Macaca fascicularis: one gene and its partners. The protein of the gene in region 1 interacts with the protein of each later gene in a pairwise test. Links are inferred from orthologs where the notes say so. Each region holds a gene or a part of one and is shown in the gene's direction. Other genes may lie near its edges.

Evidence for each region.
Region 2: the proteins of LRP6 (region 1) and GSK3A interact in binary tests that used the Homo sapiens proteins (3 or more experiments, as listed by UniProt). The link is inferred for Macaca fascicularis from reciprocal best matches to the Homo sapiens genes LRP6 and GSK3A.
Region 3: the proteins of LRP6 (region 1) and LRRK2 interact in binary tests that used the Homo sapiens proteins (3 or more experiments, as listed by UniProt). The link is inferred for Macaca fascicularis from reciprocal best matches to the Homo sapiens genes LRP6 and LRRK2.

Annotation. Positions count from the first base shown.
Region 1 is NC_088385.1:14,886,674-14,890,632, reverse strand, and holds part of LRP6 (low-density lipoprotein receptor-related protein 6), read left to right. Parts: intron 1-849; coding exon 850-1,080; intron 1,081-2,344; coding exon 2,345-2,481; intron 2,482-3,113; coding exon 3,114-3,211; intron 3,212-3,959. UniProt on the Homo sapiens protein: Component of the Wnt-Fzd-LRP5-LRP6 complex that triggers beta-catenin signaling through inducing aggregation of receptor-ligand complexes into ribosome-sized signalosomes.
Region 2 is NC_088393.1:49,288,988-49,293,106, reverse strand, and holds part of GSK3A (glycogen synthase kinase-3 alpha), read left to right. Parts: intron 1-79; coding exon 80-163; intron 164-319; coding exon 320-430; intron 431-2,368; coding exon 2,369-2,499; intron 2,500-2,587; coding exon 2,588-2,694; intron 2,695-3,676; coding exon 3,677-3,774; intron 3,775-3,854; coding exon 3,855-3,950; intron 3,951-4,119. UniProt on the Homo sapiens protein: Constitutively active protein kinase that acts as a negative regulator in the hormonal control of glucose homeostasis, Wnt signaling and regulation of transcription factors and microtubules, by phosphorylating and inactivating glycogen synthase (GYS1 or GYS2), CTNNB1/beta-catenin, APC and AXIN1.
Region 3 is NC_088385.1:46,776,064-46,780,182, forward strand, and holds part of LRRK2 (leucine-rich repeat serine/threonine-protein kinase 2), read left to right. Parts: intron 1-600; coding exon 601-670; intron 671-1,146; coding exon 1,147-1,364; intron 1,365-4,119. UniProt on the Homo sapiens protein: Serine/threonine-protein kinase which phosphorylates a broad range of proteins involved in multiple processes such as neuronal plasticity, innate immunity, autophagy, and vesicle trafficking.

The DNA of each region.
Region 1 (3,959 bases):
AAAATTTAACTGTTCAGAATGGAAGAATTTTCCCTCTGAATAGAAAGAGTAATGCTCTAATTTTGATAAGCTCACTTTCCCTCTACCTCTGATATTGATGGCCTCTGCTTCTTAAAGCCTCAGGTAGCTCAGGGATGCAGCGAAGGTGAATCCCTGGGGCAAGTGTCCTCTTCTGGCAATCTGGCCTTTCTTTGTGAGTCCTCCATTAATCAGGTATTAAAGACCTTATGTTCCTTGGTCTCAGGCAACTAGACAGCCTGAAGGCCAGCAGCATAGGGGATTTGAGAGCTAAGGCTCATCTTTAGTTTCCAGTTTTCATTCATCAGGCCTACATGTCACTATTCAAATCTAAAATCTAACATGTGCTCAGAGCTGATTTTGGCTTCTTCACCATTCCAGGTAAAACATTTGATGACTTGCCTAGGTTTATCCCTTCTGGCCATAAATTTTTTCCTGAAATCTTGGAATAACCTTGTTCATTTGTATGGTATATAGAATGAAGTAGAATGGATTTTATCTGTTTATTTATTTAAAGCTTCTTAATGGTGTTTAAATCTGTACTTCATTTACCATCTTTGTTTCTGTCAGTTTATAATTACACTTTGCAACCTATTGTTTTATTTCTGTCTTCACTTAAGGGTAGTTCATTTTGATTCCTAATGATGACATTTATTCCATATGTCCTTGGGGCGTGGTGTGTATGTATTCATAAAAAAGAAAAGTGCTTATGAGTTATCTTCATTAGGCTTATAGCTTCACATTCCTATTAGCAAGCCCTCTTTTTGATTACTATTTTGAATATACAGTTGTTTTTTCTTTTAAATAACCATACTGCATTCTTCATTGTAGATCCAACTGAAGAACCAGCACCACAGGCCACCAATACAGTTGGTTCTGTTATTGGAGTAATTGTCACCATTTTTGTGTCTGGAACTATATACTTTATCTGCCAGAGGATGTTGTGTCCACGTATGAAGGGAGATGGGGAAACCATGACTAATGACTATGTAGTTCATGGACCAGCTTCTGTGCCTCTTGGTTATGTGCCACACCCAAGTTCTTTGTCAGGATCTCTTCCAGGTGAGTCAGAATGGATCCATTGAGTATCAAGTCTTTGGTCCTGCAAGACTGCCAGGTTTCCACTGTGGAAGAGAATACTACCTAGAGTCTGTTTGAAACCATATTACTCTGAGTTTAAACAATTAGAAGAACAAATGTTCTTTTTTACTATTAGCACCTTCTCTTTACACAGAAGGCCTTAGATATGGTTTGGTAGGAATTGTCAGAGCCTATAAAGCAAATACATATGCAAGCTCTAAGCCTCTCTGACTACAATTCTGGATGCATGCTACAGAAGGTGAATCAGCCAGTCATTTAGTGAAAGAGTTATAAACCACAGGTTCTTTAAGTTCACCACCAGGGAACTCTAGTACTATGGAGCCCATGAATAAAAGGAGGCCAAAAATTATGTAAGACTCCCTTCAGCCAACAAAGATTTGTAAATAGCTGGATGATAGAAGGGAGGAATATGTCTTATGTTTTCTCCTGACTTCATGTGCTAACAGGGGACAAAGGGCTAGTTTGGGCATAGCTGAGTGGCCAGAAGTTTTACACTTGGGTAGGCCATGTTGCTCTAGGGAAGTGGCGTTCTTTTTAATGTTTTCTGGTGCCCTTAATTAAAAGAAGCCTTCCTTTTAATGAATATGGAGAAGGAGGTGCCTTGCAAAAACCCTCTAAAAATAGGAACTTACTATGGGTGTAACTCTTAAGTAGACAAACATGGTTTTTAAACTGTTAATGGTAATGTGTCTTTGTTGCCATACCTATTTTCAGTTAGTGAAATTTGGGAAGCTTCTTGGAAAAAATAGAATTTCTTCTTTAGCACTGGTAGTTTTGATTCTAGAAACATTTATATTCATTAGATGAAAAAATACTCTTTCATATGTTGTTTGTACCCTAAAAAATGCTTTTTGTTTTCTTTTGAGCAAGTCTGTTATGTAATATACCCTGCCTCACAACCTCTACCCTTTACAATCCTTTCAAATCCTCCAAGAGGTTGAAAAGCCCTTATTTTAAATAGCTCTGCTTCTACCAGGGGAGGGAGAAGGTGGGAGCTGTTCTTGGCTTTGTTCTAGGCCAGCTTTTTCAGTGGAAGCATTCACTTCTAGAGAACATTCATTTCCTTTCTCCATTAAATGTTTTCAATTATAGGAATAGAGTGTAAGTTATTTTAAAATCAGACTACTTGACTATTGATATTTGTCATCCTACTGTTGAATAAAATTGCTTGATACATTTTTATAGATCTTACGCATCTTCAGTTTTTATCCTCCTTTTGTTTTAGGAATGTCTCGAGGTAAATCAATGATCAGCTCTCTCAGTATCATGGGGGGAAGCAGTGGACCCCCCTACGACCGAGCCCATGTAACAGGAGCATCATCAAGTAGTTCTTCAAGCACCAAAGGCACTTACTTCCCTGCAGTAAGTAGTCTGTTTTCCTTTGAATGCAGCATACATAGGATCTTAGATATTTAACTCATTTAAATGTGGGTGATCAGTGATAGTAATGTAAAAGTCGTTTTTGAATGTGAAATTTAGGCATAAAGGGCTCAAAGAAGGATTTACCACATCCCGCCCCCCAATGCTTGTAAGTCTTTTAAGTTACTGTGTAATAACCAGAATATTTGAAAGCATTGGGCATTACTTTCACATTTCAAGTAAAAGTGGAACTACTGAATGGTACCTCTTGAGGGATGAGGACCTTCATTTTACGACTTCCCAAAAGAGGAAGCACACCTGGAATTTCTCCTAAATCAATAATTTTTCTCTAAATACTTATAATTTTAAATAACCAGGACTTAGCTGTGCTGACCAATGATTTTTAGGTTACAGATTTTCGTTTTTGTCATTTTGCACTTTTTAGCCATGATGAGGTCTTAGGGAATGAGGAAGCCATAGTCCCAAAGTACTGTTTGAGGTCAGTTCTTTGGAAAAGAAGAATTGTGCTAAGATATATTGTTAAGAAACACTAATAGAGATAAGGAAGAAAAGCTGAAAGAAAGTCTAATCGTTTCTGTGTTGTTACTTTAATGTTTTAATTATTTTTCTTTTAGATTTTGAACCCTCCACCATCCCCAGCCACAGAGCGATCACATTACACTATGGAATTTGGATATTCTTCAAACAGTCCTTCCACTCATAGGTCATACAGGTAAGACACACCCCCCTCTAAAATACGTTGCAGTATTTATTAGAAAGTGTTTTAGTTGTGGACCTGATGTGTCTCCAAATGAGCAGACGATGGTCACCAGAGAGAGGCTAGTCATCTTGTCCTGGTAGTACTGACATTGCCTCTACCACAGATCCTTTCCTTTCAGGACTTTATACTTTTTTAAAAAATTTTTTGAGATGGAGTTTCACTCTTGTCACCCAGGCTGGAGTGTAATGGCATGATCTCAGCTCACTCGTGTAGTGATATGACCTCACTCGTGTAGAAATAAAGTGGGAACCACTTAAAGTATCTCACTCAGAATTCTCATTTCAGTTCAGATAAGACTGTTTAAAATAGCCTTGGCTTTGAACTGATTGTTTTAACGATTTGTTGTAATGCTGCTTTCCCTGACACAAGTTTCTTCTAGGAAGCCAAAACAGAGAAAGCAGAAGCCTGAAAATTGAGAAATGAGAAAAGATATAAAATATTATTTTTAAAAAGTCATGTCTTTAAATCAAATTGAATGAGGCAGTCAGCAGAATAAACATGATTGCATAAAAAACTGTTCTTGCTTAACTATTTTCCAGATAAGCCCAATTTCTGTTCCTCTGAGTCAAAACTTTCATCATTTGTTGAGATTTTGGTCTAAACTGGGACGTGAAAGAATTTTGTTAATTCAGTTTGTTTTATTTTTTTCATGAAAATAGAAGTATTTGGACTTTTAAATGTTAACCTTAGAAATTTCACC
Region 2 (4,119 bases), on another chromosome or scaffold:
GGCTGTTGTGGGGAGTGAGTAGGGAGGGGCAGCCGAGAGAGTTGGTCGTATACTGAGACTCTCTCCCTTTGCCCTCAAGAACCGAGAGCTGCAGATCATGCGTAAGCTGGACCACTGCAATATTGTGAGGCTGAGATACTTTTTCTACTCCAGTGGGGAGAAGGTGAGACCTCGAGGTGGTGGTGGTGGTGGGTTGCTCCACCTCGACTCCAGCCATTTTCTTGCCCACCTGCCTTTCCCCCACTGCTGCCTGCACACCTTCCTTCCCCCTTCCTCACTCTTCTCACAGTGCCTCACGCCTCTCCTTTGCTCCCTGCAGAAAGATGAGCTTTACCTAAATCTGGTGCTGGAATATGTGCCCGAGACAGTGTACCGGGTGGCCCGCCACTTCACCAAGGCCAAGTTGACCATCCCTATCCTCTATGTCAAGGTATGCTGGCAGGCGGGCTGCTGGGACCCAGACCCAGAAAGCCAGGGGCTCTGGAGCCTCCCACCTTTTATGGGATCCCTCATCTGCCAAGTTTGTGTTGGTTTTCGGAGGCCCCATGACCCCCAGAGATGGAGCTTGCCTGACACAGGGGAGGGCCAAGGCAGGCAAGGCCTAACTGAATCAGGAAGGCAGCCTGACCTGGGGCTGCAGAGGCTGCCAGGTACTTGCTTAGGTCCATATAGGGAGTCCAGTGGCACCAGAGATGTTGGAGTTAGCTCAGGATAAGGGGTGGTGGGGACCAGGACTGCATAGGAAGCTGCTGAGGCCAGAGTTCGGGCCTTTAGAGCCTTGGTTGGGGGTAGGTGGGAAGGAGTTAGGGTTGGAGGAAGGTTAGCATCCACACAGCCAGGAATGCATCTCCGTCCATCATCTGTGCAGGCTCATTCCTCAGTGCCTGGTGCCGTGCCCTGGGTGTTACAGACCTTCAGGAGGTGTTTGAATGAATGAATGAATGAATGAATGAATGAATGAATGAATGAATGTATGATTGCAGCCCAGGGATGATGTGGCAAACAAGCTGGAGCAGCCTACTGCATTGGAAGGAGGTGGGTGGGTTTGTTTGCTGGAGGTCACTTGGGGCCCAGCTGCTGCTTCTGCTGGCTTTACGTACCCAAGCCTGGGTGAGCCGATGTGGACTCTACCAGTGGTTGTGGCTGTTGGACCTCACCTCCCAGGAGGGGAGCTCTCTGGTTTGGCCAATCTGTCCTGTGGCTGCCTGCACACGGGGCCCAGGGCTGAGGAATTCCAGACGCACCACTGACTGCGACGCAGGCCTTGCCCTTGAAGAGCTCTCAGTTTGGTAGGGTAGACAGGCATCATCACAGAAAACTATTAAATGAACTAGCTGCTGCCATACTAGAAGGAACACAGGGAATTCTGGAAATGGAGGAAGCACCCAGCCTGGTGTGTGGGTGAGAAGGATCAAGGAAAGCTTCCTGGAGGAGACCAAGCACAGGGCAAGGGAGCGGCATCTTTGGCCGAGGGGAAGTGGAATAAAGGGAAGGGGGTCTAGAAAGCAGCCCTGTCAGGCCCTGGTCTGTCTAGGCCCTGGGGGATGCAGCAGTGACTGAAACTCAAAATCCTGCTCTCATGGTACTTCTGTTCTAGTCAGTGGGAGGGAGAGTGGCAGGAAAATGAAGCTGGCGAGGGGGCAGGCTCAGGGGTGGTTTTGATTGTCGGATTAAGGAGCCAGTGGTTTTGGTGAGGGGGAAGCTGAGTGCCTGGCTCCCTAGCCTGTTTTATGACAACCTCCTGACATATCTTACTCTTCAGGCTTCTGCCAAGGGTTGTGATTAAAGCAGTGGTTCTCAGAGTGTGGTCCGGGGACCAGCATCAGTGCTGGAGAGCTTGTTGCAAATGCCTGATTCAGAACTCACTGACCAGAAACTCTTGAGAATGGGGCCCAGCAGTCCCTGTGTTTTTGTTTTTTGAGACAGGGTCTCACTCTGTCACCCAGGCTGGAGTGCAGTGGCGGGATCTCAGCTCACTGGAACCTCTGCCTCCTGAGTTCAAGTGATTCTCTTGCCTCAGCCTCCCGAGTAGCTGGGATTACAGGCGTGCACCACCACGCCTGGCTAATTTTTGTATTTTTAGTAGAGACAGGGTCTCAACATGTTGGCCAGGCGGGTCTCGGCCTCCCAAAGTGCTGCGATTATAGGCGTGAGCCACCACGCCCGGCCAGTAGTCCCTGTTTTAACAAGTCCTCCAACTGACTGTGGTGCACACTAAGAGAACCAAGGGTTTCAAACGGGTTTCCCCAAAGCTGTGGTGGCACCAGGGAGAGTGGGCCTGGAAGGGCTCTTCAGGCCAAGCTGGTGGGGTAGTGGTGCTGTATGGGGAAAGCCGGGCTAAAGTTCTGCTGTCCTGTGCCTGCCCCAGGTGTACATGTACCAGCTCTTCCGCAGCTTGGCCTACATCCACTCCCAGGGCGTGTGTCACCGTGACATCAAGCCCCAGAACCTGCTGGTGGACCCTGACACTGCTGTCCTCAAGCTCTGCGATTTTGGCAGGTGGGCCTGGGGCGTTTTGAGTGGCTGAAGAGGCAGGGGGGACCCCAGCCCTTGCCCCGTGTTTACCCCTGCCCATCTTTTCCCACAGTGCGAAGCAGTTGGTCCGAGGGGAGCCCAATGTCTCCTACATCTGTTCTCGCTACTACCGGGCCCCAGAGCTCATCTTTGGAGCCACTGATTACACCTCATCCATCGGTCAGAGTTATGGGAGGGGGGTGGGGGGAGTGGCAATCTGGGAAATTTCGGAGTTTACTGTGCGCTGTATGCCAAGCTTGGTGATGAAAGCTTAACTTCTGTTCTTGTATCCAGTCCTCACAAACTTAGGAGGCTGATGCTGTTGAATGCTCATTTTACAGATGAGCTTAGAGCTGTGAGGCTGCCTGCCTGCACTGGCACCACTGGGACTGGGCAGGGCTGGGATTTGAAAGCTGACCTGACTCCAGAGTCCATACCAGCTCTGGAACCTCCCTGTCAGCCCTCTGTTCTCAGCTAGGGGGAAGGGCTGCCAGAGACCTTGGGGGAACCAGGAAGCAAAGCTTTGCCACCATGAAGGTGCAACTTGCTCCCAGGGCCTCTGTGTCCTTCCGTTTGTGGGGACAACTGCCATTTTCCAGGCATGAGGGGAAGCCTGAATTGAGGGAATGGGCATGAAAGACTTTGAAAGGGTACCTTCCACAGCAGCGTGACAAACTGTGGAGTCCTTAGGTATGAACTCGTGCTGTGGGGGGTCAAGGTACAAAGCAGGGAGGAGTGAGACTGCCAGGCTGTAGCTCTTCTCATGGGCAGGATAAAGGTTGGAACAAGAGGAAGGCAGTCCAGGATTTAAGGCTGTACCTTCCTGTGGCCCAAAGAACATGGGTGCCTGTTGGCAGGTTTGGGCCTAGTTTGGTCTGTCGTCCAAGGCTAGTGGGAGAGAGCGAGCTCATTGAGGTCCTTAGCAGAGAGAGGAACTGAGGGCTGGAAACACACCTATACTAGAGAGTGGAGCAAAGGCTTGCAGACCTGCAGGGTCAAGGTTAGGCCCATGTTTCTAAGCTGCATGTGTCCTTGGGACAGGTGCTTCGTCTTTGAGAAAACAGGGCTCCTGACACTCTTAGGATGGCCATGAAGAATAAAAGCACTGGGAGGTTGGTGGCCCTACTCGCCTAGCCCTGACGCTGCCCCCATTTCCCCTTAGATGTTTGGTCAGCTGGCTGCGTACTGGCGGAGCTCCTCCTGGGCCAGCCCATCTTCCCTGGGGACAGTGGGGTGGACCAGCTGGTGGAGATCATCAAGGTGAGGGGCGGGGCCGGGGTGGGCAGGGGGTGGGGCTGAGGGATGGGGCCCTTGTCTCAGAACCCCCCCTCTCTTTACAGGTGCTGGGAACACCAACCCGGGAACAAATCCGAGAGATGAACCCCAACTACACGGAGTTCAAGTTCCCTCAGATTAAAGCTCACCCCTGGACAAAGGTGGGGCAGGACTAGGGGCTCAGGGCAGTATGGCTGAGAGCTGGTCCCCTTTGGAGGTCAACTATTCTGTGGACCTGGCCTCAGAATCATGGCTTGGGAGGATTTGAAGAGTTATCCAGGGATCAGTAACTTCCATCCGATTTCAAAGTTTATGGCATTTTAAAAGTTG
Region 3 (4,119 bases), about 32 Mb from region 1:
ATTTCAACCTCCTGTCTGTTTTGGAACTATAGAAGGACTATTGCATATTTGCATGAGGAGTTTTATCATTCTAGTTGAGGAAATTGGGAGCCACCTTATTCTCAGGTTCACTTTGAAGGATCTATTCTAACCTATGCTCTAATTTTGATTATAGCTGAGTACTAAAAATATCAGTGTTTTTATATGTTAATTCTAGACCTTAAGATGGGTGAAATGAATGACTATAGTTGAATCAGTTAAATTAGCTCTCAGCTTTATATATGCTCTTTCGAATTTATATATAAATTTAGTTATAAAAAGTAGTTTGGTTAATGAGAGAAATTATATAGATATAGCTTTTTGACTCAACCTTTCTGTTTTTCAGTTTCCTTATATTTAAAACAAAAGAGAAAGAGTAGATACTAAGGTCATTTGAGCACAAAACTGAATTGTTTTCTTTTATCTTCATAATTGGGTTCTTAGTTTTTACTTGCCTATTTTTTCCCATAATTATAAATACCATTTAACCCTATTAAAATTTCATGGTTCTTTCCTTATAAAAATGTCCTCTTGTCCAACAAGTGACAGCAATTTTATTATAAATATCATTTTTTTTAATAGGGGCCCATTTTTGATCATGAAGATTTACTGAGAAGAAAAAGAAAAATATTATCTTCAGATGATTCACTCAGTAAGTATTTGGATGTAATCATAAGTAAATAGATACTTTGGGCAGAATACAGTGTTTGGTTGAATTTCCTCCAATTATTCAAATATTCTTGGGGCCAGTTTCATCTTACATAATTTCCCATAAGCTATAGAAAAATGAAGTATACATTTAAAATTTACCTTTCTTGAATATTATAGAACACGTTAGTCTTTATTTTTACAAGTTTTCTGAAATGTAAATAACACCTCCCACCAGTGCCACTCTTCATCCTCTCTTCCAGTTTTTCTTTTTCCCACACCATTTATACCACCTGATTAAACGCTTTTTATCTACTGTTCATCTCTGCCACTGGAATGTAAACTCCATAGTTTGGTTTTCTACTGAATCTTCAGTGCCCTGAAGAAAGCCTGATTGCTAGGAGGTGCTCAGTAAACTTTCACTACATGAATTTAAATTATTTGCTTATATTTCCATTGTCTGTCTGTTTTTGACAAAAGGGTCATCAAAACTTCAATCCCATATGAGGCATTCAGACAGCATTTCTTCTCTGGCTTCTGAGAGAGAATATATTACATCACTAGACCTTTCAGCAAATGAACTAAGAGATATTGATGCCCTAAGCCAGAAATCCTGTATAAGTGGTCATTTGGAGCATCTTGAAAAGCTGGAGCTTCACCAGAATGCACTCACGAGCTTTCCACAACAGCTATGTGAAGTAAATTTAATTTATCCTTGTAACTTTTAAGACGTTTGAAGAGCTTTTGTATTTATATCTAGTTTGCCTGATTAAGTCTTTTAAAAGAACATTCTGCTTTTGTGTCACTGGGCAATAAGTCCCCCGTTCTTCTGGTTTTTGCACACATATCTTAGTCTGTGTGATGTTCAGGAGCATCTTTGAGGGCAGGCCGTGGAAACAGATCTGATTAGAAAGAAATTCTAGGTTTTGTACAGAGTACATATTAAAGTCTATCAAGTGTATATTGATTAAACTTTAATCATTTAATTCAAGTAAGACAACGTCAACTATTTAAATTAGATTAGGTAAACTAGAATTAGACCTGGTTTGGTAGTACTGGCTCTGACTCAGCTACAACTGTGTGACAATACGAACATGTCACTCCTCCTGCTCTAATCTTTCATTTTCTCATCTGTAAAATAGAGATTCAACTAAATGATTATTGTGGCTTATTTTTTTTTCCAGTTTAAAATAATGTGTAACTTAAAAGATTTTCATTTTTGGTCAAAGTTCCTGTCTTATAAGAATTAAACTATAATATAGTTTGTTGATAGGATAGCTCTCTGAAAATTGACTTTGCTCAACATTTGTATGTACTACAGATCAAAATAGTTTTGAAAGCCAAAGAAGATATGAAAATTAAAATTATTTTAATGCAAATGTTTAAATTGTTAAATTAAATTCTCAAGGCTGGGCGTGGTGACTCATGCCTATAATCCCAGCACTTTGGAGGCTGAGGCAGGTGGATTTGTCTGAGTTCAAGAGTTCAAGACCAGCGTAAACAACAGCAAAATCTTGTCTCTACCAAAAATACAAAAAATTAGCCATGTGTGGTGGGGTGCACCTGTGGTCCCAGCTACTGGGTGCTGAGGTAGGAGAATTGCCTGATCCTGGGAGGCAGAGGTTGCAGTGAGCCAAGATTGCACCACTGTACTCCAGCCTGGGCAACAGAGTGAGACCCTATCTCAAAAAAAAAAACAAAACAAAACAAAAAAAAGTCTTGTTGCAAATGCATTTCCCCCTTTTTAAGTCTAAAAAATTATCATAATTTTGAGATGTTTTAAAGGCAATATTACATAAATTTTAAGTATATTTAAGGGGTGTTTTTCTCTGTAAAGTTTTTATATCTGGAGACAGAGAGAAGAAAGAAAGGTGACCCACTCCTCCAGCCATGCTGTAATGTCTAAAATGTGTCTTTCTCTCTTCACCTCTTTGCCTTGCTAAATACTTCAAGTCACCCAGGGCTCAATTTAAATGTCACTTCATCACTCTCTGCTTCTCTTCCTTTTTCCTTCTACCCTCCAGCCAACCTGGCCACCTAACCTCCATTTCCATAACACATGATGCTTTCCCTCTAATTCTCATTCAGTCATCCAATTTGATTTAAAGTACCTTTGCCCTCACTAAACTGTGAACTCCTTGAGGACAGGACTTGTTTCAGGCTTGTTTCTGTCTATTCCCAGTGCCTAGTGAGACCTGACATATGGTAGAAGTTTAGTAGATACTTACTGAATTGATTTGTGGAGGCATTAATGCCTGAAACTTGGTAATACTTCAATTAATATTTGTTAAATGAGCAAGTGAAATAATTCTGAGATTTAGTCTAGTTAAAACAAAGAGAATTGGAAGGCTGGGCACGGTGGCTCAAGCCTGTAATCCCAGCACTTTGGGAGGCCAAGACGGGCGGATCACAAGGTCAGGAGATCGAGACCATCCTGGCTAACACGGTGAAACCCCGTCTCTACTAAAAAATAGAAAAAACTAGCCGGGCGAGGTGGTGGGCGCCTGTAGTCCCAGCAACTCGGGAGGCTGAGGCAGGAGAATGGCGTGAACCCGGGAGGCAGAGCTTGCAGTGAGCCGAGATCGCACCACTGCACTCCAGCCTGGGCGACAAAGCGAGACTCCGTCTCAAAAAAAAAAAAAAAAAAAAGAGAATTGGAAGAGATGGTGATAAGGTGAGACATGCTGGCATTCAATGACTGGACAAGCTCAGAACCTTCTCTTAGGGAAATTTCAAAATGACACCATTAGATGGTACTTTGTTTGTTTGTTATTGTCAAAGAGTCTCAACTATGTTCCTTTTTATAAGAAAATTTTCTGATTAAACCCTGGGAATAATTTTAAAATCTTTACTTTGGAATAAGTTAATAAGGGTCTGAAACAAAGGCAGGAATTTTGAAACAACTTCTGAGGCAAAGAGTCATTAATAAGCCTCTATAATCATATCAAAGTCTAGAATTTCTTGTGTGGATAAATATACTGATATATAAAGAAGAACATAGAGAAGTGATTGTTTTTGGCAGTTGAGCTCTTTAAGAGTATTACATAACAAAGTTGTAAAAAGTCGATGTAATATGTAAGTAGGGGTTTGCTGTTATCATTGTAAAATTATAAACTGCTTAAAAATGGAAAGTAGAAATTTGAAACAAAAAGTTTCATAAAAAAGAGGAGGTTCTAAAATGAAACACATATTGTATGTAACTATTTTTATGGTTAAATCTTATATATATCAAAATATGTAACAATTTCTGACAGCATTTAAAACATATTCCCAGGATTATGTTGTGCTTTTTCTTAAATCATTAATTCAAATATTTGTTGAGGCCTATTCTGCTTCCATTTTGCTCTTTCTGGAAATAATTTACAAAAAAGCTGAAGGAAGCTTTCAACTCTATTTTCATGAACCTGCTTTTTACAGTCTACCGTTGTAATTTTGCTGGTTTTACCCATGCTA